Linked DNA regions of Drosophila melanogaster. The protein of the gene in region 1 interacts with the protein of each later gene in a pairwise test. Each region holds a gene or a part of one and is shown in the gene's direction. Other genes may lie near its edges.

Evidence for each region.
Region 2: the proteins of CG15083 (region 1) and CG15390 interact in a two-hybrid assay, tested with the Drosophila melanogaster proteins (one large-scale study listed by BioGRID).
Region 3: the proteins of CG15083 (region 1) and ND-24 interact in a two-hybrid assay, tested with the Drosophila melanogaster proteins (one large-scale study listed by BioGRID).
Region 4: the proteins of CG15083 (region 1) and Spp interact in a two-hybrid assay, tested with the Drosophila melanogaster proteins (one large-scale study listed by BioGRID).

The regions. Positions count from the first base shown.
Region 1 is NT_033778.4:18,830,957-18,839,451, forward strand, and holds CG15083 (uncharacterized protein), read left to right. Parts: upstream 1-4,306; 5' UTR 4,307-4,435; coding exon 4,436-4,556; intron 4,557-5,323; coding exon 5,324-5,391; intron 5,392-5,459; coding exon 5,460-5,622; intron 5,623-5,698; coding exon 5,699-5,799; 3' UTR 5,800-5,886; downstream 5,887-8,495. Other genes in the region: CG15082 (uncharacterized protein), read left to right, coding at 290-344, 1,216-1,725, 1,834-2,159; CG15098 (uncharacterized protein), read right to left, coding at 2,695-2,828, 3,009-3,162, 3,355-3,440, 3,520-3,706; CG15099 (uncharacterized protein), read right to left, coding at 6,391-6,612, 6,678-7,020, 7,077-7,272, 7,429-8,495.
Region 2 is NT_033779.5:2,370,970-2,379,088, forward strand, and holds CG15390 (uncharacterized protein), read left to right. Parts: upstream 1-3,743; 5' UTR 3,744-3,786; coding exon 3,787-3,840; intron 3,841-3,896; coding exon 3,897-4,670; 3' UTR 4,671-4,728; downstream 4,729-8,119. Other genes in the region: CG3597 (uncharacterized protein), read right to left, coding at 1-19, 73-457; CG3609 (uncharacterized protein), read right to left, coding at 1,541-1,801, 1,861-2,107, 2,165-2,456, 2,525-2,732; Atxn7 (ataxin 7), read left to right, coding at 6,233-7,306, 7,367-8,119.
Region 3 is NC_004354.4:17,628,370-17,636,808, forward strand, and holds ND-24 (NADH dehydrogenase (ubiquinone) 24 kDa subunit), read left to right. Parts: upstream 1-3,719; 5' UTR 3,720-3,810; intron 3,811-3,884; 5' UTR 3,885-4,052; coding exon 4,053-4,091; intron 4,092-4,220; coding exon 4,221-4,739; intron 4,740-4,893; coding exon 4,894-5,064; 3' UTR 5,065-5,140; downstream 5,141-8,439. Other genes in the region: CG8326 (uncharacterized protein), read right to left, coding at 1-902, 972-1,054; corolla, read right to left, coding at 1,693-2,760, 2,813-3,000, 3,158-3,448, 3,513-3,630; CG8289 (uncharacterized protein), read right to left, coding at 5,963-5,984, 6,205-6,608, 6,973-7,557; CG5800 (uncharacterized protein), read left to right, coding at 7,999-8,385.
Region 4 is NT_033779.5:542,286-546,159, reverse strand, and holds Spp (signal peptide peptidase), read left to right. Parts: upstream 1-1,506; 5' UTR 1,507-1,617; coding exon 1,618-1,827; intron 1,828-1,893; coding exon 1,894-2,744; intron 2,745-2,810; coding exon 2,811-2,919; 3' UTR 2,920-3,374; downstream 3,375-3,874. Other genes in the region: nAChRbeta3 (nicotinic acetylcholine receptor beta3), read right to left, coding at 1-344, 596-789, 854-968.

The DNA.
Region 1 (8,495 bases):
CAGGTGCTCGCTGCTCGAGCGTGGAGCGTGGTCGGGGTGGCCGAAAGGATTCGCGTGGAGTTGGGTTTGGTGCGCTGCCCGCGTGGAGCTATAAAAGCGCACGATGCGAACAACTTGGCCGTTAGTCGTCACTCCTCCGGCGTGGAACTCGATCTTCGCCGTGGGAGCAGCTGTATTCCGTTAGAGCATAGCCACCATCAGTTGAAATGTGTTTGCAAACTATTTAGCATCGGTGTATCCGTAAAATGTAAGAGCACCCAGAAGGCGGTACTCGAAAATCAGCCACACAATGTCGCACCTGGTGATGAGGCGACGGATTCTGCTTATGGTTTTGCTATTTGCAGGTAAGTCCATCAGTTCCAAGAGTTTGTGAAATTGGGCAGAAAACATTTCAAAGATACTAGCTAAAGTAGCTGAGATCATGATTATTGTTGTAGGAATTTGGAATCTTAAGTATATCATAGATCACAAGTAAAATCAAAATTTATAGAAAAAGAGAGCCTTTTCTCAAAAAAAACATTCCATTCTGCTCTTTAAAAATCTTAAAATTTAATTAATTGAAAACACAATTGAAGATGCCTAATAGGTGCATAAACTACGATTATACGTTATAGCCATTTAAAAATGGCAGAAATCTTCGTTTTTCCAATTTATCCGTCTCTGAATCAACCGAAGTTCTTTTGATCCCATTAAAAGAGATTAATAATAGTGATGTTTGTTTAAGTAAATCAAATCAAAAATCAAATCAAAAAATTTCCAATTTAAAAGTATATGTAATGCACAAAGAGTTATTTAATTATGCTATACTGTGTTTAACTACTTTTTATCCAATCTAAAAAACAATTAAAACTAAATAGCTTATAAACTTAAACTGAGACTAATACATTTTACTACGACAACTAGTTAGTTGTTCTTCCCTGCTTATGAAATTAAACGGAAGATATGACATCAATTCCATGGGGCAAACTTTATCGTAACTATCTCACATTTTCGGCAATTTTTCATTTCTCGGCAATTGTTCTAAATTGAAACCTGACCTTTTATTAGCCGCCATTGCGCCTATCACTAATTAAAATCTGTAGGGCACTAGCGGAAATTGGATGTCATGTAGTTTTGGCGAAGCCAACCCTGTTTGTACCCAAGTGACTACCCCAAATCCTGCGGGAGCACACACAATTAATGGGCCCGTCTGCCGATATGCTTCTCCACCGCCAGGTCCACTACGAAACGCACCTTTCGGCGGTGCACAGGTGGCGATAGCGACATCACCAACAACTGCTCGTGACCGTCAAATTCCGCCGGAGTGGGACCGAAACTGGAAGTTGGATCCGGACTGGGATTTCGCTGGAAGCGAGGGCAGGGAGTCGGTCGCGCCGATGACGTCACGCACCTTGGACAACTTTTACCCTTTCGATGGCGGAAATGCCCCGCCGAAAACCAGTGAAACGGAAATGGATAACCAATTCGGAGATAGCTATCTCGACCCGTATCCTACGCTGTTCGGTCGCCAGTGGCACCTCCAGCATCGCAGCAAGCAGCTGCAGGTGCAGCACAAGTGGCAATCTCCGGTTCCTCCACTTGCGGAAGTCAAGGCTAAGAGGGATCCCGCCAACTGGCCACCCGACGACGAGGAGCCACCGCTTACGTACCCCTACGCCTACACCTTGCCCTGGAAACGAAAGGAGGTTCCGGACTCACTCCGATATATGCCCTCGATCAGTGCTGGTGAGTAATGGAGTATTGGATAGGATTTGGATTCTTTGATTTAATTTAAAGCGGATTTAATCCTTAACCAATGAACCCATTGCTAGTGACATTCGTTCTACATTCCAGGAGCCATGACCAATCTGGGCGGCTTTTTCAACCGCCTGGAAGCGAACCTGCGCTTCGCGGAGCAATCGCAACTGGGTGAGTCGGAGACGCGTATGCTGGAGGGTAAACACCCGCACCCACTGCACCTGCCGCCCGTGCCGCCCGACGCTCCGGAGGATTCCGAGCAGAAGCAGGAGCACGACCGGAAGACATCGAAGCTCCTGCAGGCCCTGCGCAGCTACAGGCCCTCCCAGAAGATCCGATCGCTGGTGTCGCGCAATCCGCAGGGATACCGCGGCTCCCAGTTCATTGATCCCAGCTACATGTGGCTGGGTCTGGGCAAATGACAGTGAGACCGCCGGAGCAGCAGAATGGCCCATCAATAGTTACCTAAGTAGCTGCAACGAATGCCGCCCCAAGATTCGATTTAATTTATGCCCTCTGTGTGTGTAGAAATATATGTTTGAAAGCCTATCACAGTGTGTTAAGTTTTAAGGAATGGTATGTATTAACATTTTCGAATTACAAACAAATAATAGTAGCATCTCCAAACATTACAACAAGAAGCGTAAACCAAGCCCCTAAATAATTTTCCATTTGATTATTTATATAAAAAATATATATTTTTTTTTTTGCAGCCAATCGAAAAATCTTGTATTGGCCATTTCGTTTGGATATACGTATAGACACAATCGCGTTAATGTAAATATATATGATGTACACACAGATTTTCATTCTCTGATGCATGAAATACAACGTAGTATATAATTTTGGTGCTACTAGCTAGAAAAATATTGGGTTTATCGGGGAAGCCCCATTGGAAACATTCGAAAAGGGATATGATGAAATAAGAGCTGGCCAAACGGGAAGCTACACTGGAGCTTAAATCTTGGTGTAGCTGGGATAGGAGTTGGTCTGCTGGGTCGGCTGTGGGATCAGCGGGCGCTGGATCTCACGGGATGCCTGGATCTGCTTGAAGAGCGAGTAGATGCCGTAGTAGAGATACCAGGTCAGCACTGAAAACGAGCGAATGGAGAAAAATAAGCATCGTGCCCAAGCGCAATTATAGAACGATCGCAGACCGTCGAGCGATAAGCGCAATGGGGATCCACAATTTCGCAACAACGGCCAGTGTGTATTGTGTATACCCATTTCCAGATAGAGCTTATGTATGTATGAAGTGGTGAGTCACTTACAGAGCAGGCCAACATCCACGAAAATGATTGGAAGAGCGCTCAGGAAAGATGTATTTCCGATGATCTGGGCCAGCATTGCAATATTGGTGATAATTCCAAAGACAAGCAGCACTCCATTGTTGATCAGCCAGGGCAGCAGGAGTAAATGGCGTTCCTGAAAGGCAAACGCTATTAGAACCATCTCTATCTCTAGTTAGTATGGTGTATGTACATATGTATTTGCAAAGAAACTTGCCGGTTTTTTTTACAGAATAGTGGGCTTTTAAAAAGGTCTAACTCTAGATATGTACTATAGTAGACACATATATACGCGATTGTACAGATTGCATATTGATACTAGACTTACCTTAACGGTACCTGCAACCAACATGGCCGAAGCCAGAAGATTAATCACCTTGAGCGCCAGGTAAACACTGAAAACGATGATTAGCACTGCAATAACCGCAAGAACAATGAAATACAATAAAAAATATACGATTGGTTGTGGGTGCACTCGATGGTTAGCCCTTACCACTGCGAATCTCGGTGGCCGTCTTGTTAGAATCTTCCGATCCCTTGGCGATCTGCTGCGCAATTTCATCGACGAATCCGAGGGCCAAGGACAAGAGGATCGTGGCCAAGAAGGATAGAATCACGCCCAGCCATCCAATGACCACACCATAGGTGTTCAGGCGCATACAGAAGACCCTGGACAGCATTCTGGATTCACTTGATTTCGTGCTAATGCGAAGATAAAGACAATTTTACTTCAGTTCGCCGGCGCAGCAAAATTGCAATTGCTTGATAAGTCGCAATTGGCTGACAATTAAAAGCTTTTGGGTACAGCGGCGTTGCCAGACTGGTTCAAGCAGTTGGTGTCGAAACTGTGACTTGTTCACCAGCTTTTAATGTGACTTTTTAACGCTAATTGTTTAAAATTCTTTTAATAACATTTTTATATTTTAAATATTTTTATGCATTTATTATTTGGCATGATAGTTAAAAAATATTTATTTATGTATTCATTAACACTGCACAGCAGCGGCTTACTTTCATAATATTTTTCAAGGTGCTAATAGTAGCTACATTACATATATAATACAGCATTAAATCTCTCTATTATTTTAAAGACAATTCCCCATTTTATTCATTTCACTCTTAAATGACGAAACATATGCAAACAAATTCATATAGTAAATGAGTGCACATATATTTTTTAAGAACATATCAGACGTAGTTTTTCCACGCTCGAAAAAAAAGTATTTTCGTGTTGCATAGTTTACGCAACCGTTTCTTCTGAGCGGCATCGGCATTTGCGCCACACTTATTATTTGATTCTTGCCCAGTGCGGTTGTGTTTCCGTGCGCTAGGTGTTCCCAAACCGGTTTAAGTGCCATACTAGCCATATTTGTATTTGGAAAATTCGCTGTAAACCACAGAGTTTCAAAATGAAAATCGATCTGACGGTGGAAAATGGCCCGTGCAATACCGATTTGCGGAGCTGGTGCCTGGGAATCGCGATCTATTGGCTATTGAGCATGACTTTCAACGTTATATTCGCTCCAAACGGTAGGAGAAATGCGAGAGGCGTGGCATTTGTTTATTTTCAGAAGCTGATTGCCCAGACTGACGCTATTTCCATAGAGAGACAATACATTCATGATGTTCACATGCGAAATAAACGAATGAGCTAATCCATTCGACACAAACGCGTTCCAATTCACAACCATTTTGGATACAACACCTCACCATCGATGACGACATCGCCGACAAATTCGAGCTGACAATTCATTTTAGGTGGCCCGAAATGCCATTTTCTCACAGGCTTGAATTTTCCAGCACAAAAAAGAAAATTAAATAATTTCCTTGGGCTGTGCATGGCGCAGAATTAAACTTAAAAGATTATTGGGTTTTAACAGTTGAACGCCATATGTCATAAAAACACTTAAAGCCCTGCATTTGTCCATGTCTCAAAGAAGTTCTATAAACCTTATTCTAAGCTGTTTTAAAAAGTTTGTCATATTTCATGTATGAAATGTGTTTAAAATATAAAAGAAGAATTTATGTTTTAGTTCTTTATGTATATGTACACATGTACATGAAGTGCATCAGTGCATCAATATGTACTCATTATATACGAAGATACATTTAGCAGTCGTGTTCTCAAATTTCAGACGGGAAGAAAGATAAGAGCACAGCAACGTTTTGCTTGGAATACATTGAGTCACTTATAAGCCCAAGTTTATGTTTACTTTCCACTAATTGTAACGGCTTTTTTTATGAATGAAATATGTACGTTCAATAATTTCTATTTAAATTCACTTGAATCCTTGCAGTTCTTACCTTTATTGGATTTGCCATCGTAGTAGTCGCCAATATTTGCTTATTGATAGGAACCCTGAAGGTAAATAAAATACAACCCATTCCGTTTTATTGAGTCAACGAAACCCAATCTACCTTTCCGAATTGCAGGAAAAGCCAATTCTGGTGTTCGTCTGGCTGATCTTCGCTGCCATTGAAGCCATCTCCTTTCCGTTTGCCGTCTTCGGGGTTATCTTCCACTACGGAGGATATCGCGAGGCTACCGGAATGAACAACGTTTTCGGTGCCCTGCTCGTTTACATCATCACATTTCGTAAGTATCGGCTATGAACATCAAATTGAGTTAACAAAAATGTACAGATCATACATATTCTCCGCTACACTTTCAGTATTGATCCTCTTCAGCGCACGAATTGTGTACTCCTTCTACCTCCAGCTGAAAAACAGCGAAGCCAGCAAACAAACACCGCGCGCCATGAATGTGGTTTAGTCCTTATCATTCTACACTACATAAATTGTCGGGGAAGAGCCCACCGTTCGTTCATCTCAGTGTTTGCAATAAAATGCTTTGTTTTTTATTTGATTGCAGTTTGTCGTTAACGCACATCTCTTACTCACATCGACTTGGGATCAACTATCAACAGTTAAATACATTGGTTACATACATATACATACAGGGTGCTATTGGCTATTGGGCTACCGCGTTCTTAAACATTCAACATTTAAAACGATCGATCACACTACGGACAATTATATACTCTCGACACAGTTCTCTATCTATATAGCTAGCTATCATACTCGGCATCGTCTTCTGCTCCAATCTGCTTACTTAGACATAAAATGGAAAGTTGGTCATCTTATTGTTGCTGCTGTTATTGATGTTTTGCGACTGCGTAAAGCTCGTCTCGGCATTTTGGGTAGTTAGCTTAGCCTGCACGGCCGCCAGTATTCGCACAGCCTGGCCAGTACTGCCCGACTCCATGGCAGACTCCATACCTAGGTTCAGGTTCAGCTTGAGCTCGAAGTGTGACCCACTCGCTTGGATCTGCGACTGCGTCTGCCGTTGGGCAACAGCCGGTTTTCATCTCGGCGTGGTTATGCTGGGCAGCTTTTCCAGAAAATCATTGGCCAATACCTCTTCGATCTCCTTCAAGCAATTGGCCACATCGTTCTCCGTATCGGCAAAGTTACGCGGCTGGGGGCAACTGATGCCCAGCGTGGTGAAAAAAGCGTACAGCTCCTGCAGCGACTGCAGTTGCTGGAAGTGCAACATCAGGTGTCTATTGCTGGGGCGTTGCAGTATCTGGAACAAAGCCAAAGGGACTAGTTAGCCAGATGACGCATACGATGAGAGTGGGAATTACTCACCGGTGACTGACTGGTGTACTTCATGTCCATTAGCCTGGCCACACGTCTGACATGCGGAACATACAGCGCACTGGGCAAGGTAGCCAGGTTCTCTAGACTTCCGTTGGGCAGGCACACCTCCTCCTCGTGAACATCGAACTCGGTGCCCACAAAGGCCCATCGATACATCTGGAAATGTGGCAGTTTGGTTGCGGGCAGCACACATCCCAATTCAAGCAGCTTGCAGGCCTCCAATTGCACAGATCGCCAGTGCTGCATCGGTGTTTGGGAATTGTAACCATTGCTAGCTCCAGAAGCAGCGGACCAGGACACGTCAATCCCAGAAGGCAGGCGCAGTTGTTGGCTGCCAATAATGATACTATTAGTTTGACTACTTTTTTTCATTCGTGTTCGACTTACTTCCTCTCTTCGCTCTCCGATTTGAGCTCTTGTTCCATTTGTAGAAACACCTGTACCATTTCCGCTATGATTATGGGCCACAGCGAGGTGACGTGGTCGGGTGACATGCGAAGAAGCAGCACACGGAAGCACAGGAAAACGGCCGCTTGCACGGAAGGACCCATGGGAACCAGCCGCAGACTGTTGGCCAATTGTTCTAAGGGAATTGAAAATGTTAGTGCTGATGTTAGTTAATTCCCCAAAGAGATGGTACTAAGCTATAAATAGTAATTATATTTTTACATACTAAAAGGGTAAAGTTTGTTATTAATTGCTTAGCATCTAACAAAGGAGGAACATTTCGTTAACTTACCCTGGATGTCTGGCATGTACTTGTTGTGCTGGTCAAACTCGCTGCAATAGATAACAAAGGCGAGTCGCTTGAGCAACATGGCCCGCTGCTCATACTCCTGATCCCGGGAGGTGAATATGTTCAGACTGCCCGCCTGCGAGAGGGAGACGCGGGTCATCAGCTCTCGGAACGTGGTGTTGTCGTAGGTCATCAGGCTATCCATGATCATGCGCCAGAAGGGCAGGCACGAGAGATGCATCTGGAAGAAGGCGTTGTCCAGCAGTAGATCCAGCATATCCTTTCGCCAAGCCTTCCTGGTGTACTGGTAGCCACTTAAGCTAGCCAACAGGGCAGAGCAGGCGTAGAAAAAGGGAACATTCCGAGCAGTGTGGTTCTTCAAATACGGAGTAATATTGTACAGCAGCGGCGTCACTATGTTCACCACCTTGTCCTTCTCCTGGGAACCATAGGCCACGTCCAGTAGATTTGAGAGTATTGCTGCCAGAACACTCTGAGCCTGCAACGAATATTGCTGTAGACCTCCGCCTCCAACACTATTATCCTTGGCTAGCCCATCGGTATCCTCTTTCACGGCCAGGTTGCGACGCAACCAGGTGGTCTGCTCTAGACAGGATCCAGCCACGCTAGAGAGAGAGTCCACCAATCGAGAGGTGACATCGTGCAGCTCACGCACTTCCTTCTTGTCCTGGAATGGCATCTGCGGGCAGCGCTGGACAAACTCGTTGAGTAGCATAAGCAATGCAAACTGCGCCGGTGGTGTCAGATTCAAGCCATCGCGGATGAGGGCCAGCAGCGAGCTCCAGGCATCCGCTAATTGAGGAGCTGGAGCCGACTTCATGTAGAAGTAGAAGAGCTCCAGAGCACTCACCTCAATGCTTAGCTGGGCAGGTGGCCGGTGAATTGGCGGAGGTGAGCGCACAACATGGTGCAATGTCATTACGAAGGAGTCCATGGGCATTACACGTATGCTGGATACTAGTGAAACCAAAGATAGTTGGGCAGGACATGCCTGCAGCACGGAATTCCTTTGGAACTGCTCTGCGATGCTTAAACCGTTCATATTGGTT
Region 2 (8,119 bases), on another chromosome or scaffold:
AAGAAGCGTGACCACATGCCTGAAAGCAAACCATTAACAACTACTACTTCTGTTTAGTGGGCTTATAGATACTATTACCCTCCATGAGGAACACTCCACGCTGCTCGGCCAACGTGTACAGCTCCTTGGCCTGCTCCACGCTCAAGCACATGGGAGTCTCACAGAGCACGTTTTTACCCCTGGCCAACATGAGATGGACGACAGCGTAGTGGAATGGATTCAGGGTGCCCACATACACCACTTCCACCTCTCGATCCAGAGCCAGTGCATCGAAACCATCGTAGTGCCTGGGTATCTGATTCCTCTGGGCGAACTGCTGCGCTCGCTGGCCATCCACATCGGCCACGGCCACCACTACGTGACGGGACTTCTCCACGGTTCCCAGGGCGGTGACAAAGTCCTGCGTTATCCTGCCCGCTGCCGCGATGCCCCAGTTCAGATTCGCCTGGCTCTGCATTGCGACGCTACGACTCCAGATGTGCTGAATGCTATGTGGGTATCCGTTCTGCTTTCGACGAGTCGAGTCTCGCGCGGGCCCGTGTCCGGGCAGCTACTGACGCCATGATAATGATACTGAGTGCTAGTCCCGAGGGTCTCCTATCAGTCCCTGGCATCTGCATTCATTGCAATTTTCGTATTCCATTGCATTCCGGTTGATAAGGAACCACCCAGTTCCGCACACTGGCGCTCTATAGTTGCATTTTCGGGCTACGATTCTCGTTTTCTTATAAATCCTATAGAACGTAGACCTTTCCGAATTTGTACCATCCATTTTCCTTATCCTTTTTGATGACTCCGAACCATAGGTTGTTTCTATTGCTAAGGCCCGTAGTGTTTCCAAACTGATCACACGGTTTTCGAATCTCTAAAGAACCCTTGCTATGAAGTACTATAGAACTATTCTACGCAATTGCACTTATCTTATCTCTCAGAACAAAGACGAGCCCCCTTTTTTGACTGTTATCTACAAAATGACTATTAAACTTGTGAAAAGTACAGTTGGGGTACAAAACATTCAAATATTAGATAATAATGAGAGCTAAAAAGCTTATAGATGGTTTTCAAAAATTAGCATAGGAATATTAAGAATTTTTAAAAAAGTAATATAAATTAGAACAGACTTGGTGGTATAATCTATATTAGAGATATGTGGGTAGACTTTAGAGAACCCTGAGATAAGGAATCCCTGCGCTTTTTTTTACCAGCCCCTAAATTAAAAGACGGTATCATGCGGCAGAAACGTGATCGGGAATTCTGCCAAGTCAGGCACTTTAGTAACACCCCAGTTCGACCTAGTGGGAATGTCATCGCTGCCGTTCCACAATCAATAGCTCCCCTTATCGCACTGTTTGCTAATCCTTGATCTAGAGTGGGGCATTGAAAAAATACAACAGGGGGTCCAACTTTTAGTAAGTCCAACTTTTGCTAAGGACTTTAAAATGTATTGCTTTCGTTTAAAATAATTATTTGAAATATATATTTTTTGTAAAAAGTTCTGTTTATTATGTTAGGTTTACACGTTTATCTATATAATCTATATTTACTGCTCATCGTACTTGTTCAGCACACCGATCTGCTTGCGGATGGTGTCCTCGATCTCGGCGAAGATCAAACTGTCGGCGTAGGTGACGTTCTTGTTCTCCACTTCGCCGGCGATGATGGACTGGCGCACTGCCTCCGCCTCATAGCGCATGGCCTCGGAGTTGGCGTAGTTGGTCGCGTACTTGCCCTTGGGAGGCAGCCACTCCTTCTCCTGGCCATCGATGTCGATGAGCTTGTTGGGCGACCAGAAGTCAATCAGCTGGTAGATAAGACTAGACTATTAGCTACTCTTCAATCACGATCGATTAGATTACGTACGGTAACTTGTCCTTTGGTGCCCTTGATAACGGCGGTGTTTCCCAACTTCTCCTTGGAGGAGAAGCGCATGCGAGCAGTGCGCCCACCACTGTAGGTCAAGGTGGCACTAACATCATCGTCGATGCCCTCGGCGTTCAGGGTTCCCTTGGACTCGATCTTCTCCGGTTTCTCCTGGAAGGCCCACTGCGAGACCTGGATGGTGTAAATGCCCAGATCGTAGACCACACCGCCTCCCAGTTCGCGTTTCCTTTAAGTGATGTGATCTATTAGTAATTGTTATTCTATGAACGATCTGTGTACTCACTGCAAGCGGTCGACATGAGGCATAGGGAAGCCAAAGTTGACCTCCACATCCTTGACTTGGCCCAGCTGTCCGCTGGAGATGAGCTCCTTAACGCGCTGGTACGAGGGGAAGAATCGCGACCACACGGCCTCCATGAAGAAGCGCTTGTTGGCCTTGGCAGCGGCCAGGATGCCCTCCACCTGCTTCTTGTTCATGGCCAACGGCTTCTCGCAGAGAACATGCTTGCCATTGTTCAGCATCAGCAAGGCGACCTCGTAGTGCTGGGGATTCAGGGTGCCAATGTAGACCACATCTGGGGATAATTACATTTTTTAAAGATTTTTTTGAACAGTTTGTTTATGAACTTTAAGTTCTACTCACCGACATCGGTGCTCTTGGCCAGCTCCTCGTAGCTTCCGAGGGCCTTGGGAATGCCGTGCTTGGTGGCGAACTCCTGGGCGCGATCAAGAGCTCGGGCGGCTACAGCCTGGACCTTGTGGTCGCTGGAGGGCAGGGTGCTGAGGGCGATGACAAAGTCCTCGCTGATCTTGCCGGCGGAAGCGATTCCCCAACGGATGAGTTTCGACATGTTGCTGGATTGTGGAGCGGGCTGCGAATGAGTGGCAAGCCGAGTGGATTGTTAGTTAAATATGGGTGGAATCCACAGAGAGCCCTCCTTATCAGAAATAATGCGAGAGAATTGAACGCTTTATCTCACTCCCCACCGGCAGTTTATCCCATTCCAATTGTTTGAATGAAAATCGACCAGAAGTAGTTGTGCTATTTCACAATGTTATTGAGTTTGACCTTGTTTGAGCATTACTTGAGTTATTCTGGATGCCACCTGTACGGGAATTCAAAGTTATCACTGATCGAACGAGCCCTCCTCTCCTGGCCAATAGTTTCCTCATTAAGTAAAAACACTTGTCACGTTCGCTCTGATACACAGAGCTTTTAAGATTATTACAAAAATAACATTTTAATTCTCTTGATTAATTTCTGGATGATTTCCTTTTCAATATCAACAATTTATTAGTTGGGTTTTTGTGTATGGATTTATGTATATTTAAAAGAAATATAAAAATACATTTCACATCCATTTATAAATTTGATTTAAGCTTTTTCACTTGAATATAAATTTTTATCAGTGTATCGATCAGTTTACATGTCGTTTTCTACATACATATGTATGTATTTACTTGTACGGTTCCAAATGGCGACAAATAATTTGAATTCTTTGGTTAAATAAGCCGGGTAGTACTTAGTTTATAACATTAAGCTATATCTCTTTCAGAGTTTGATTATAATTATGCTATAGTTGAACTCTCACACACATGTATACACACATATGTACAAAATAAAGAAAAAAAACTTACGCTGAGCTTGTAGCAGAACTAAACGATAAAACTTTCCACTGTTGTTTTTTATGCGCGACAGTTCTATTTATAAACAATTTGCTGTGCACCCGACGAGAATAACAGTTCGATGCGTGCGATTTAATAGACAATTAAGCTATAGACGAATATGGTGGGTGTACCAGCTAAACATGCCGTTGTTCACGCTTCTCGGTAACTGTCATTGCAAAGAAGAAGAGATCAGCTGTTCATTGTTTTGCTCGCCGATTTAAGAGGACATCGCCAAAAATGTTGCGGAAACTATTATTTAACACACAAGCTGTATTAAAACAACAGTCAAACGTGAGTTAATCATGAATGCATTAGATAGAAATTAGATACAAATTGTTACTTTCCAGTTACATCACATAAGGCACTTGGCAACGCCCAAGATATTGCAGCTTGAACAAATTCACATCGATGAAGCCATCAAAATAGAACCCACGTTAGCTGTATTCTCACCTGAAATCTGGCGAAGGGCCCATCAAACTTTTCAAAACCACGGCTTGGAAACCGTGAATTTCCTTAGAATAGTTACCGGTAACCCCGCGATTTTGAAAAGAACGCCGGACAAAATAATAAGCTGCCTGGAAATCTGGAGGGCCTGTCAATTCGGCGAGAATCTACTGCACCTGCTCCTTACGAAGTACCCCGAGTTACTGGACGTTAGCGACTCCCACCAGTTACTTTCCCACATCGGCTTCCTTCAAAGTCGCGTCTCCACCAGCAAAAATGTGTGGAAGTGTTTGATGAACAGTCCGGATTTGATAGCACAATCCGAGGTATCTATTGAGGAGAAACTGAACTTCATCACAGACGTGATGCGCATAGAAGTGCCGGAGTTGGTTAAATCGGCAGCCCTTACCTTGTCATTCGAGGAGCTGCGTTGTCGCCACCAGTTCCTGCTTCGTTTGGGCCTCTTTAAGCCACGACCTCCGAAAGCCGATCCAAATGAGCCGACTACGAACCCCAAACTCTATCAGATTACAGACACTTCCGAGAAGAGTTTCGCCACAAAGATTTGCCACGTCACCCTGCCGGAATACGAAGCCTTCAAGGATCTCTACGCCAAGGAACTGGAGCAAAAGTCCAGAAGAAAGGAGGAGGATGAGCTTAGTGATGAAGATGACTAATGTTACGTTTAATTATGGTTATAGTTTGTGCCAGCAAATAAACGCTTGTAAAAATAGGAAATGTTAAGTATAGTTTTCTATCGCCTTTAAAAAGATTTTAATTCATAAATATATTCAACTGACTTTTCAGCGGAAATGCATGTAATTAATATATCGGCTACGTATGCAACGAATACCTGTGCGACTATCGATAACATATCGCACTTAATCTGCAGCTGCAACAAATACAACGTAACGTAACGAGACGCGAATTGCCATCCCTAAGCAAATACAACGATATTCATAATATCAATCTTTAAACTCGAAAAAGCGAGACAAACTAGAAAGCTTTAATTGATTTCGTTACAGAATCAATTAGGCTATACAACCAACTCGTCTTTTTCGAGTTGACCTGGCATTTTCCTCCACGGAGGCCGGCCAAAAATCCGATTTATCCACGGGTAGGGTAGAACGGTAACCTAAACCCACAAAAAAAACAACAAAACATGGAAGTGTGTTAACGACGTAAGTGTCATTTAATGCCGATATCATTCGGCATTCGACTAAAATTGCCTGCGAGCATTTTAAGTGATTTTTATTTTGTGATTTTCAATCGTGTGCTTTGTTTGTGTTGCATTGGTGTGGGTAAGTGCGTGAGTGTGCTGTGCGTCGGTGTGAGTGGCTGCGCATGTGTGCGGCAGTGCGAGCGAGACGGCGCCACTCGAGTAGCGGTTGTCAAAAACAGCTGATCCAGACCAAGGGGTGCGGGTACCGAGGGGTTGGCGCTCGCGGGGGCGGGGGCAGCACTCACCTGTAAGCTTTCGCTGAAAATTTACGATATCAAAAACAACAGTTTGTTAAATTTCGAGATTCATTCAAAAATGGCAATATACGCATAGAAATACTCCAAGACGTACAGTCTTCACACCCTCCACAAGTGGTTTGTGCAGTGTCCAATACTTTTCCGTTGCTAATAAAATCTATATATGTATGTATGTATGTATTCAGGGTCAGGGTCCTGTGGTCAATGGATATGTTGTATATGTATAAGTGGGTTCTGCTGATATCTATTCATTTAATTATAACGATGGTTCTGTTTATGTTAATCCTAACGTGCACCAAAAAATTTTAATTATAATATAAAAAAATAAAGAAAAAATAAATAATTAATTCTAAATGATTATTCTTGTTTTAATTTACCTTAAATCTAAATCTAATAAAGTTGTAATCTTCTTGAGATATACTTATAAGATTAAATTTGAGTTTTAGGGTTAAACACGCCTGGTGGTGATTCAAACCACGTACATATGTATATGTAATAGAATATACGAATTTATTGTATGAAAACTAGTGATGATTTTAACATGGGCATTTCGTAGGGATTCCGTGGTCCGGGGTTCATGGTGCATAGCCCCAGATTTTGTGTTTTTTATCAGCGATGAATTGCAGTATCAGTTAAAAGCTGTCACTATCAAAGTTTCTCTGGAACTAATAAATCAATCCTGTTTTGCAGGTGCTTTAAGGGGCAATTTTGCTCGAGTGTACCGAATCCCCGGATCCCGCGAGCACAGCTTCTATCCGGAATGCCCCTGAACGATGTGGCCCCCGCCGGTGGTGGAGCTTATCCGGAAAATGGAACCAAGCACAAGGTGTCGGGAATGTGGAAGCCGGACTCGTCGGCCGGCTCCAATTCCGGCTCGGGATCGGCGGGACTATCCCTGTTTAGCCTGCAGGGCCAAAAGTGGCAGCAGGTCTTCGACATGGAAAAGGTCATCAAGCAACTGCGAACGGCTGAGAAGACGTATCTGCGTGGTGGAAAGAACTCCTCCGCCGGCGCAGATCAACAGGCGAAGGTGCAGGTCCAGCGTCTGCAATCGGCGGACATGGCCTACTACGATCTGGCGCCGAAGCTGGCCAGTCGCGATATAGTACTCTGTAGTTCCTGCTCGGGATGTTACACGAAGGCAGGTTTCCAGCACCACATTGCGCTGCAGCATCCTAGCGTCTGGGAGGCCACATCCAGCAAAGTGAATCCCAATCCAAATGGGACAGCCATATCCAGCGACTCTCGTCTCACTGCCACGGAAATCAGTCAGGAGGGCGGGGCTATCGTGCCAAGTTCGCCCACGGATACGCTTTCGGCCTCGACGCTCTCCAGTTGCTCGAACGGGTCCAGCAGCTCGGCTTCACTGCAGCATCCGGCTGCTGCGGGTTCATCCAGCACCACGTCGTCTTCGTCTTCGTCGCGTCACAAGAGCAGCAGCAGTAAAAGTAGCAGTTCCTCCTCGTCTAAGGGCAGCAGCAGCACTTCCGCCGGAAGTAGGTCGCGTTCGAAGTCGTCAAAGAACCGCCACCACTCCTCGCCAGCTCCGGCCCTGCTGGAGTCCAATCACAAGGAGTCAAAGGGATCGAAGAAGAGTTCGGCCATAGCCGCTCCTCCCGTCGTCGCTGCTGTTGTTAAGGAGGAGCCACCATCTGTGGGTGCTGCTCCGGCTGCCATAACCATGTTCTCCTCCTCCAGCAACTCATCCTGCAGCTTACCGCCCACTCCCACGTTGGGAGCGGCCTCCAGCGAGGTGGCGATGGGGGTCAACTATTCACCTGCCCAGCTTCAGACGGATGCGGAAAAGCTGCCCGAGCTGCAGCCAAAGAAAAAGGTATTTCATATAATTGTGACTATAATAACTCAATGATACAATTACCGAAATCCTCTTCAGTTGAAGGGCTCCAGCGATCATCGAATAAAAGCGGAAAAGGAGAAGAACAAAGATAAGTCTCTGGTGAATTCCTACGAGCAGCAGCAAGTGCTCAGCGAACTGGACCAGGCAGTGTCTTCCATCACGGGAGCGGTTTCCGCCGAGCAGGTGGCGCCCGATGAGGAGGAACTGCCCTTGCCCAACACCTCCGACGAGAACTCCATTTCGCAGACGCTCGACGAAATGCTGGACAGCAAGCTGATCAACGAGATTCTGAATAACTTCGATGAGAGCGCTCTGGACACATCGCAACAGCAGTCACAACAGCAAGCGCAGAATGGATCGCTATCGCATCCCGCACAGGCCACTAAAAGGCTGCGCTTTGAGGACGGAACCATTGGCGAGGATTACGCCGTGTACCAGCAGCAGGCGGTTCAGCAGGTTTATGGCGAGGAAGAGCATCAGCAGGAGCTGACCACCATCGATGCCATGCAGTTGCAGCAACTGATTTACCAGCAGCAGCAGATGCTCGAGCAGCAGCAACTGCAAGAGCAGCAGCAACAGCAGCAGCAGGATCAGAAGCTTCAGGATCACGAGCAGCAGCGCCAGTTCAGCGTCTACAACGTGCCGTCTCTGACGGATGAGGCAATGGTCAATCCACAGCAACAGCAGCTGGAGGAGCACATGATCCTGCCCAGTATTATATACGAGATCACCGAGTCGAATCCCGTTTCCATGCTGGAGCAGAAGGTCTTAGCCGAATTCCTAACCAAC
Region 3 (8,439 bases), on another chromosome or scaffold:
TTGTCTTGTTTTTGAGCTGACGGTATAGCTGAACCATTTTGCTGCGCTCGGTTTCAAGCATTGACCTCGTAGCCAAGGGCAGATCTTTCCGCTTGCCCTTCATCTGGGCCTTGGTGGGTGCTTTGAAGGCGCTCTTAGATTGGGCAGCCAGCTTTAGTCGACTGCTGTCGTCGTCCTCCGGCCCACGATTTGACTGACCCTGGTCGGGATTCAGCATGGACTTTAGAAGGAGATTGGCTTTGCGTCCTGGACGCGGCACGGTTTCACTTTTTTCCGCTTTGCGCGGCAGGATTTTGAGGGAAGGTGGGGCATGGACGATCTCACCAAATGCCACAGCATCCTGTTTGAATTCTGTTGGCCCGGCATTCTGCTTCTCCTCGGTATCAACCTCTTGCTGGGCCTCCTTGTAGGCCCTCTTCACCAATTCGCGACTGGTCTTCGCATCCATGGGCTTGTGTACGACTTGAACCTTTTTGCGACCCCTTTTGCCCGCCAGCCGTTGCTCCTTTTGCTTCTGCTTGAGCAGCTCGTCGATCTCGTTTTTCGGCCTCTTTTGGACAGTAATCTCCCCGGTTTTGGGGTTTCTGATCACGTTCACACCATACTTGGCCTCGTAGTGGGCTTCCCGTACGGATGCATTGGTCATGCGATTCACTCGGCGCAGATAATCCTCGTCCGTTTCGTTGGCGAACTGCTTGATGTTACGCGTTTCCTTTGAGGAGGAACTACTGCCAGGCTTGGATCCTGGAGAGGATTTGGGCTTATCCTCCCGTCCAATTTCGCCCAATCTTAGCTTCTTGCCCGATTTGGTGGCGTTGGCAAGCTGCTGAAACTGACGGAACTTAAAGGACACCTGCTGCTCATCCTTTTTCACAGGCGGATTGTTCGTTACTTTGGAAAGTCTGAAATGTGAAATGGTGCAGATATTAGTTTAGCTGCCTTTTTCGACTGACTTGCCACTATGAACAAACTTCTTCTCCTTCTGTTCCAGCTGCTTGAGGGGATCACGGACGCCGTGGTGCTTGCGCACGGGAATCTTTCGTTTCCGAGCCATTTATTTTGGGTTTTGGTTCAATTTTTGTAAAACAAACTCGTGGTATCGACAGCATGGGTTAAAATACTAAGCGCGATGCATGCTGACAAATACCAAAACAAACCATAAATATACCAAATCGATTAAAGCTTGGACTCAAACCATTGGCGCCCAGAATTACAAATGAAATATTAAAGTTAAATATATATTAGATTAAATATATAAATGTATTTTACACTATGTATTGTATTAAGTAGTCTTCATATTCCCCTATTTTATAATATACATTTTTAATAAAGATTTATATGCTGTAATGAGAAAAGTATTTTATTGCAAGTGGTAAAATTTACTGTTTGCAGTAAAATTAAATATTTAAAGTCACGAATTTGTCTTAATTTATTGTTTTATTAGTTTATAAGCAACGACAAAATGAAGAATAAGTCTGAAACGGCACTTTCGAACTGAATACGTATGATTTAAATGTACATATGCATATTATGTACGCAAATTAATTTCATTATAAAGCTACAAATAATTTAGCTGAAGTGAAATTTTTTTTGATTGCAAATGGCAATGAATGAATAAGTATCTGGATATTAATTAATTGTCCGTTCTTATAAAGAACATACATTAATTTTTGACCAAAATACGTTAACAATTTAAAGTATGTACGCCGAGGCGGCAGTAGGTGTAACATCATTATCATCGCTGAAGTTCAGCAGGTAATCATCGTCAAAATTGTTGTGGGGCGAGCTGAATCGAAGTGATTGATCATCAAAGTTGTTGAATGTGGACGACGGATGCTTAAAGTAATCCGGCATTGGTTGGCTCATTGGGAACTCCTCCTCCTCCAATTTTAGTCGCTTGCAAGGCGGCGCCTCGTTTTCATCGCGATTGCTACCATAGTTCATAAACTGGGTTGCAGTAAAACGATTAAGAGTGCCCTTGGAGGTGCTGGGTATATCGTCGCTGGCCCAGGAAGATATGTTTTTGAAGGGAGAGAGAGTGTCGACTCTAATTATTTGTGGTTTATCGGAAATTTCATTGGATAGCTGCTCATCAGTCTTCGGGTTTTCGCCGATTTTTACTTGTTTGGCCGCATCAGCCGGCTCCTCCTCTCCTGAAGCCTCCCCTCCGGATTCCTTGTCATCCGATACGGATTCCTCGACTTCTGAGCCAGATTTCTCATCATATCTATCCTGTTCTAGATGCAAAACCTCTTCTGACTTTTCTACTTTTACCTCCTGCTCAAATCCTTCATCTTTCAGCGCCATTTCGAATTCTTCTTCTGATATTTCCTCAAAATCTTCGTCTGTGGCCTCCATTTCGTCACTGTCCTCTTCTAATTCCGCATTTGGGACACCTGCCTCTTCTGAAGGAGAAAGCCAATCGGTCTTCTCAAATTTCTCCTCTTCGATATGGCTTATCTCTGGATAGGGAGAAAAACGCACTTGCTTTGTTGGCGAGTTGGAAATGGCAACAGACTCGACCTCCTTGCATTTGATCAAAATGGATCGCAGAGGAGTCTCCAGCTTCTTAGTAGTGATCTCTCTATTCACGCTCGTCATGGATTTATTGTCATCTGGTCTGATATTCTTAAAGATGAAGTTGTTGAGGAAATCCGAAGCGGACTGAAATGGTGAAATGGTGCTAGCGGATGGAACACCAGCCAAACTTGGTTCAGCGCCCTTAGTGACACCCGTTTTAATCAAATTCCTTTTTTGCAACTGAAAAACGGAAAAGTTATTCACTTGGAATGGATATTTCGCAGCTACTCACCTCTTCCTTCAATTCGTTTATCAGCTTTCCCATCTGTAAAACGCTGACTATCTTCTTATTAAGCTTATCCGTCATACTTCTCAGCGTAATTGTCCACTCGCGATCCGACTGGTCCAGTTGGTCGTCCACTGAGGCTAGCTCCTTATCTGCCTCTTTTTTTAAGGCTTGCTCTTTTCGGAATTCCTGGACTGAAATAGAAGCTACTTGAGAATCATTTAAATAACACAAATGAACTTATACTATCACATAGGGTAAAAAATATTAAACAAAATGTTTTTTATTGTTTATGATTATATAGCATTCAAATGGATTCCGTATTCAATAATACCTCATACAAAATCTTACCGATGCTGCGCGATTCGAGGATTGTGTTCTGCTGATTCTCTTGCTCGGCCAAATCCTCCTGCAGCTTAATTTTGCGCTGGAACTCCTGCTCCTTGCGATGCACCGTGTAGTAGAGGATGTCCTGCAGCCCGGCCATTTCGAGCAGCTCCTCAATTCGCGTGATCTGGAACATACAGTCCTGTATCATGGTGTTGGCCTGTGCCATACCGGCACCGTTATCCTCCACTACCAAGGCGCACTGCTTGACCAAGGTCAGGTCGAATAGCACCTGCTCCAAACGCGGCCCTACAACTGAACAAGCAGAAACATGTATGTATAAATCTTACTTGGAGATTCGCGCATTATGCCCACTCACTCTGCTCCTCGACGATCAATTCTTTCCTTTTCTTGAGTTCCTTCTCGAGCTGCGCCATTTTGGTATCTTTTGGCCAATTTTGCCCCATAAATTCTTTGACAAGTGGATATTTTTCCATATTTTGTCCGTTCAATGTTTCCCCCCGATAAGCTTACAAGTTTGCGCGTTCAGTAATTTATCGGATATCGAATGCTAAGGCACAGCGATCATTGTTGAAAAGTGTCATAGATACTGAAGTCACAGCGATATATATCGCTTACTGTTTTAGAAAACTTATTTTAAAAAGGAATAAAAAAATGTAACGTACCGCTGAATATTAATTTAATTACAAGTTTTATTTGTTTAAGCTTTTTTTTATTAATGTTGTACAAGATTTGTAGAGATTTGCTCATCTCTGACGACAAGTGCCAGTGTTGGCAAACGCTCCGCCGAAAATCAGCTGTAAGCGGTGCTTGTTAAAAAAAAACTGACAGCAGCCGACGGACTTCACATAACATAAGAGCAAATTTTCAGCCTTTTCATTATTTTGGAAACGCCAGAATGCTGACAAACTGTGCCTCCAAAACACTGGCCGCCGTGGTGAGTAGCGCAGCCATCCAAACTGTCCAGTAATTCGCGGTGTCAACCAGGGAAGGCAACCTGTTCCCCGAGTTATATAATTGGCGACAGGAAAACAATAACATTAAGGATATGTGTTGTTATTTGCAGCGCGCCAACATCCGGGCAATTGCCACCAGCAGTGCCCGGGCCAGCGACAATCTGTTCGTCCATCGCGACACACCGGAGGATAATCCCAACATCCCGTTCGAGTTCACGGCGGAGAACAAGAAGCGCGTGGAGGCCATACTCAGCATCTATCCGGAGGGGCACAAGCGCGGCGCCATGATCCCGCTGCTTGATCTGGCACAGCGCCAGTACGGCTGGCTGCCAATCTCTGCCATGCACAAGGTGGCCGAGATTCTCCAGTTGCCCAATATGCGCGTCTACGAGGTGGCCACTTTCTATACGATGTTCATGCGCAAGCCCACTGGCAAGTATCACATCCAGGTGTGCACCACCACACCATGCTGGCTCCGCGGATCGGACGACATCCTGGAGACCTGCAAGAAGCAGCTGGGCATCGGCGTCGGCGACACCACCAAGGACAGGAAGTTCACCATCTCGGAGGTCGAGTGCTTGGGCGCCTGTGTCAATGCGCCAATGGTGGCGATCAACGATGACTACTATGTAAGCAATTCTAATTGCTAAATGTGTTTCCTGGTCATTTGTTTGTAGGAAACGCCAGTTTCACTCTCAGCCTCGTCCAGCGTTTCAATCTTAATGCGCTGAAATCGACTCTATATTGTGCAAACATTGCTAACGTTTTTTTTTTACTTTGCAGGAGGATCTGACATCCAAGGACATGCAGGACATCCTGAACGACCTGAAGGCGGATAAGATATCGCCCCCTGGGCCACGCAACGGACGCTTTGCCAGCGAGCCAAAGGGCGAGCCCACTTCCCTGAGCGAGGAGCCCAAGGGTCCTGGCTTTGGTCTGCAGGCCGGTCTGTAGAGGATGAGCAAGGAGCAGAACCTATCACTGATTGTCGAACGAAAGTTAAATAAATGTTAAGCAACTTATAGAGGTCATTGATAAAGGATTTTTGGATTTTTTTTTAAAAATATGCTCACTTTCCATTGGAAAGTTTCCATTTTGAAAGGTTACACATAAAATAATAACTCCCAACGAACTCGAGAATACTAGTACATTCAATTAGATGTGGAAGATCGCCAGAACCCCAATGCAAGCCAAATGTGCGTTTTTCATATCTTGACCAATAAATGATTTTATTTTGTAGTGGAAACGGCAGGTTCCCATTGCTAATTATAATGGATGTTTACTATTGCATACGTACGCATGTTCCATTACTAATTATAATGTTCGCTCATTATAATTGTATGTACAATGGCGTACGTACGTAAGAACGAATATTATGAATTAAGATGATTGGAAGAGTAGTTGAGAGGCTATTTTCAGCTGTGGCAATTGACCAATACAAACATCAATTACTCAAAGGATAAAACTAAAGCTACAGAAATGATGCCTTACATTCTACGCTGGTTGAGTGCAATTAACCAGATATAATACTACATGTATGTACGCACTGTGATGCAGTCGATTGCCTGTCCTTTTTACTTATGTACTAAAATCCGAATTTAATATTTAGTTATTTGTGTTGCCCGTAAAGTTGTCCGCCAATAGTCAGGATTGTGGACATGATGTGGATTGGCTCCGCCCGCGAGCTTTTTTAAAACCAATAACGATAAGGGAAATTTTCCGTTAAAATCTAACTGGAGCCGCCATGGGTCACCTTTCCGCGTACTTCGGTCCGCATGTGTTGTAATATTATATGTAAAAAAAAAAAAGTGTACTAAATTCCTACATGGATTTCCTTCCTTGTTGCCCTTCCTCACTCCTCGCCGTAGAAAATGCTGAAAGTATAAAGGTTTATTGACATATGAGTAACATGGTTGAGTGTGGATATCAAAACTATAAACAAAATAATGAAGAAATCAGACACAATGCGTGAAATTAAGCAACGAAACGGGCAAATATAAACTGAAAGTATCAACTGAGGAATAACTGAATTTAATACTTCACAGCTGTGTCGTTATTCTAACCTTATTGTGTATATAGAGATATTAAACGCACCGGTTTTTGGCGGAAGAGCGCTTCGAGGAGCGTTCAATACGATTGTGCAGATTTGTCCTGGGATAGCATTCATCGACGAGGCGCTCGGTCTTCTTGGGCGATTCGCGCAGCTCCTTAACGTCCACGTTCTCCTGGGTTGCTTGTTTCCGCATAAACTTTTCGATAAGCGCATCGCACGCCAGATTCTTACTCGGCTCCCAGGAATCATCCTTCGGTCCATACTTCTTCCATCGGATCTTAAACATGTCGCCCTCCTTGGTGGCAACGTGATCAAGAATTTTTTCGACTTCCCATTGCTTTTCTGGGTCGATTGAATCGTCGGCTTTCTTGGTGCCGGCGTTCCGTCGACCACGTCCCTTAGCCTTCTTAGCGTTTGGCGAGGACTTCGATTTAGCTGCAACCTTCTGCAAAGCAGCAAAGATAAAAAAGTTGGACTTCATTGATCAAAATACTGTCCTATAAATAAAATGAATCTTAAAGTATGAGGCATTTTTGGCCAAGATAACCGCCATATAACGAAATTACTCTCAACTGACTACACTTTCTCATCAGCGTTTCAGTGTAATGTTTTAAAAGCATACATTTTTATATGTACGCCAGTTAGCGCTAATGATTTCGAATAATAGTACAGTCATCATAATCTAACCTTTTCGAAAGGTTTTGAGTCTCAATGTTTTGTAATTGCTGACTAGAATTTCGTAGAATTTACTGAGGGTTCAATATCTAATTGGGTCTAGTATTTTTTGATTTCTCGAATTGATGTCTCACCTGGGGTTGAGCTGATTTCTCATCCTCTGTTCCAGCATCGACATCGGATTCCGAATCCTTTTCAGCAACCTTCTTGCCATTTTTGACGGAAGAAGTCGAAGCCCTGCTCAGCTTGCGCTTCTTGATCGGACTTGATGCATGTGCAGAGGCTTTGGAGGTGGAGGGCAGTTCATTGCTATCTTCCGTTTCACCGCGCACGGATCGCCGTGTCTGGCGTTTGATATTTGGCTTCCTTGGCGAACTGTCGGCACTAGGGTCTACATCGGAATGATTAGCATCATCATCCGAATCCTCTATAACGATTTTTTTGCCATTTTTGCGGGGCGAAGTGGTGGCGTTCCTGGCCTTGCCCACCTTGCGCTTGTTCCTTGCAGCTGGTACATCCACGTTGGAGGTAGAGGTCTGGCAATCGCTGTCTTCGCTGTCAGAGGCCACAGTCAGTTTGGCCTTTCGTTTGTTCGGCGTCTTCCTGGACGATCGACCTGTCCCATTGGACTTTTGCTGGTCAATCTCCTCGTTTTCGCTCTCGTTGGCGACTCCGTTCCTGCGCTTACTTTCTGCCACCTTCTTACTCGCCTTGGCCATAATGCACTTGTTTATCCGGTTGTGTGACAACGTCCAATTTGCTCTACGGTGGCGATTTCAATTGCCGCGTACCAGCAAAACAAATTCTTTATAGAGTTTTTTGACGACTGTACACTTGGCAGTGTTACCAGACTGCAAGAAACAAAAAATCACGAAGTCGGGATATGCAGTTTTATAAATATATATATATTTATATTTCCTGGGAATATTTATTTAATGTTTATCAATCGAGATCCCGAGATCGAATCGAAGTAAGAAAGTAAGAAAATTAATTCTTTCCAAATTTCTAGAAACGGTAATACAAATTAGTGGTCGATACATTCGACTTGAAATGCGAATTAATCGATTGAATAATCGTTTCTTCTCTCATCCCTAATTCCAACCGCGTGCGAATTTCAATACGTTTCGAAACGACCGCATTTTGGTCAATAAACAGAGGGTATGCAGCGCCAGAAACCCAAGGGACCCGGCAAACCGGGTTCGCGTTTCAAGCCGGGATCCGGCACGTTCAAAGGAGCTGGTGGTGGCCGGAAAAGCGGCGACAACAGCCAGAAGCGTCCGCGCCAGGAGATCAACAAGTCGCGACTGGCCGCCACCGAAGCGGAGATCCAGGACCTCAAGACCAAATACGCAGAGATCGATGCTACTGCCATTAAGAAGTTCGCCCAGTTTCCGCTGTCCAAGAAGACCCAAAAGGCACTGGCGGAGTCCAAATTCGTGCATCCCACGCAGGTGCAGCGGGACAGCATTGGACCCGCACTGCAGGGCAAGGATGTGCTGGGCGCGGCCATCACAGGCAGTGGCAAGACACTGGCCTTTCTCATACCCGTAAGTTGGTCCTCGTCCCTTCTTCGAAAGAAATTGCCGGCTGTAAGTTATATA
Region 4 (3,874 bases), on another chromosome or scaffold:
GGTGACTGAACCAGGTCGTCGTGGTCAAGGGACTCTCCTCTCGCCGTGCCGTTCTCCGGCAGGACGACCTTCAGGCCCCAGGAGCCGATCTTCAACTTGCAGCTCTGCTTGTCGTGGGGCCAGTTGAGCATGTTGAGTTCGCAGTAGGCCGTGTACACGGCTGGAGGCATCCACCGGAAGTGGCCATCGTGGCTGAGGGTCACCTGGGTTTCGGCCATCAGGCCACCTTCGTCGCCGTTGAAGAGTGTGATTTGGGGGGTCCAGACCTCGCTGGACTTCAAAGTGATCTGCGTGATGTTGTCATATTGTGACGGTTGCCACACGCGCTCCTCGTCTCTCCATCGCTAGAAAACCACGATTGCTTCTGGTTAGTTGATTGGATATTCAGATATTCATAAATGCACTACACTTATTAGCTTTATAGTACTCTCTCAAAAAAAAAAAAAAACAAAACAAAACAACACTTCAGTTCAGTTCAGATAACACGCTTTCCAAAATTGCTTATCAGAGTTGTGAACTTGAGGGAACTCGGAAATTATCTGGTTTCTCAGCTACTCGAGACGAAGGAGAGGACGAAGGAGAGGACTGGACTTACGAGATTCAGCCAGCAGTGGGTGGTCAGCTTGCCGTTCAACTCGTCGATGTCTATGTAGGTGACCACCATTTCCAGGGACACGTTCGTGGGGGTTCCTTGGAACACCGGCTGCACATCGCTGTCGTAGTTCGTGAACAGGCCGGCGTGGAGGCGATCCAGGGCCTTGACATTGGCGTTCTTGGGGTCCGCGGTGGCTGGAGGGGATTCGAGATCACACTTATCAGCGGCTTATGCAACTCCGGAGCCGTAAACACTTACCAGTGGCGCCTGGCACGGAAGTCAGCCCCATAAGAAGCATCCCCATTAGCATTTGCAGCAGTAGTGGCAGTCCAGGACCGGAAACTGGTGCCTTTATCTTGGGAGTCGTCGTCATTGTTCAGCGCGCCTTTGTTTCGGATGTACGGTGCTGTGCTCTCGAAATCTGAATGGGAACTGAGCTCGGTTTGCGGCTTGGCACATGGCCGAGGCTCCTCCGATATCTCGGTGTTCCTCTGCCGACGCAGCAGATAAAGCAGCAGCCGACATATTTGGGTTTTGTGTGGGAGCCGTGCTCACATGTACTGACTTCGGGGAGGTTCGAGAGTCAGTTCTCTTAAGAACTTAATCAATTCAAAAGCATTTACATATATCAGCATAAAATAAACTTAAAAATCCATTTCACTTATTTTTGTTTCGCAAAAATGCCAAACATATGATTAATAAATTGAGGAGAACTGGTGAACAATTAGCTCGATAAGCTAGCAGGTTTTCACAAACTAAGTTCGGGATTCACTAATTTCAAATCAGATTTATCAGTTTTGAATCTCAACCGTTTTGGTATATTTTTCGGGAGTTTGGTGGCGGTGCGACCCCACCACAGAGGGTGGTATATTTTTGGTATACTGCGGTGCGTCCGATAGGCCCAGACGATGACCAGCGGTACCGATAACACAGATTGTTGACGTGTGCTGCTGCGTGTCATTTCGCTTTTCACCCCCGCAAGCCGGCGATTTTCAGGAACGGATTGGATTGGACAGCACAGCATGGCGGAGGAAGTCATCGGAACCGTTAAGGAGGTGCTGAAGGGCATCATCGAGAATGTGAACGCGCCGAAGAACGAGTCGGCGCCGGGCGAGAAGAAGCCCTCGACTCCGGAGGGCATGGCGGTGGCCTACAGCAGCCTGGTGGTGATGGCCATGCTGCCCATCATCTTCGGCTCCATCCGCTCCGTGAAGCTGCACAAGCTGAAGAAGGTATGTGAAGCAGACTCAGCCCGGAAGCTGCATTAACATGTTTCCCGTAATTCCCACTCCCTGCAGTCAACGGGCGAGAAGGCGGACACGATGACCAAGAAAGACGCCATGTACTTCCCGCTGATCGCGTCGGCAGCCCTCTTCGGGCTGTACCTGTTCTTCAAGATCTTCCAGAAGGTGCACATCAACTACCTGCTCACCGGCTACTTCTTCGTGCTGGGAGTTATTGCTCTGGCGCACCTGCTCAGTCCGGTGATCAACTCGCTGATGCCCGCCGCCGTGCCGAAGGTGCCCTTCCACATCCTGTTCACTAAGGGGGAGGGCAAGCACAAGGAAGACATCGTTAACTACAAGTTCTCCACGCACGACATTGTCTGCCTGGTGATCTCCTCGGCGATCGGAGTGTGGTACCTGCTCAAGAAGCACTGGATCGCCAACAATCTGTTCGGTCTGGCCTTCGCCATCAACGGCGTGGAGATGCTGCACCTGAACAACTTCGTCACGGGCGTCATCTTGCTGAGCGGCCTGTTCTTCTACGACATCTTCTGGGTATTCGGCACCAACGTGATGGTCACCGTGGCCAAGAGCTTCGAGGCGCCCATCAAGCTAGTGTTCCCCCAGGACCTGATCGAGAACGGCCTGAACGCCTCGAACTTCGCAATGCTGGGACTAGGCGACATCGTTATTCCGGGCATCTTCATCGCTCTGCTGCTGCGCTTCGACGACAGCAAGAAGCGCAAGACGCGCATCTACTTCTACTCCACGCTGATTGCCTACTTCCTTGGCCTGCTGGCCACCATCTTCGTGATGCATGTGTTCAAGCATGCGCAGCCGGCTCTGCTCTACCTGGTGCCAGCCTGCATGGGCACGCCCCTCCTGGTGGCCCTCATCCGCGGCGAGCTGAAGGTGCTCTTTGCGTAAGTGTGGACTGCGCTGGGCGCTCGACTTGAAACTAAACTAACTCATTCTCGCCCCCACTGCAGCTATGAAGATCATCCCGAGGAGAAGCCCGAAAAGAAGGAGAAGAAGGAGAAGGACGAGGGCGTCAGCTCGTCCGGCAGCAAAAAGAAGGAGTCGAAAAAGGGCAAGTAGAGCCGGGAGGACGCAACATCCGAACAACATCCCCACTCGTTCCATCGTAAATGTCTTCTGCAGCTAGCCAAGCTCCCTTTCGTTTCGATATGGCTTCTCCATCTACCGCAGTCCATAGCTCATATGGACTAACACCGCTACAAAAGACGATTCACTTACTGAGTTAGTTATGTACGTTCCTTGGCCAGGCACAACAATCTTATTTAGTTCGGTTAGGTTACAATTGTAGAAAATGTTCCCTCGACTTTTTTACCGCAATCAATTTAAATATGTATTTCAAATATTTCTGTGGCTCCGCACAGGAGGCTTATATGTTTAAGAACAGTTTAGATACAAATATATTCCAATTTTTGTAAACAGTGCAATTTTGACTACGAATTCTACATTGCATTTCTTAAAACTAATGCAGTAATTTGTGTAAACAGTAATGCGAATAAATTTTAATTCTAACGTTTAATTAAACTAGTTTTGTATTGAGTAGAGGGTTTTTAGGAATGTAACGGCTTAAGAGAAAAACCTAATACATTTTAAGTTGAGCTTACCAAAATCCAAAGAATTTTTAAATTTAAAACATAATACAAAAGTGCTTTGAAAAAGTCAGTATTTTAATACCACTGTTTATCCACGGCCACACTAAATATCGATAACCGCATAGTGAGACCCTTTGTGTAGAAAAACTTATACCTTTAGCGAGCACAAGCGTTCATTCCTGAAAAATTGCGGTAAAAATTGCGAAAAGCGCGAGTTCCCCCCGCGATTGCAAATAATTAATTTGCTTGGAACCACTGGAGACGCAAGGACGAACAGAGAGGTAGGTGCTCTTGCACTTAGCGCGCCAAAAGGCGACAAAGCCCCTCGTAGGCCACTTACCCACACACACACATTCGCAGACAGACGCGCGTGCAAAAAAGGCCAAGTGGGACTGCTAGCGGAAATCCAGGACTCGAGGACACGT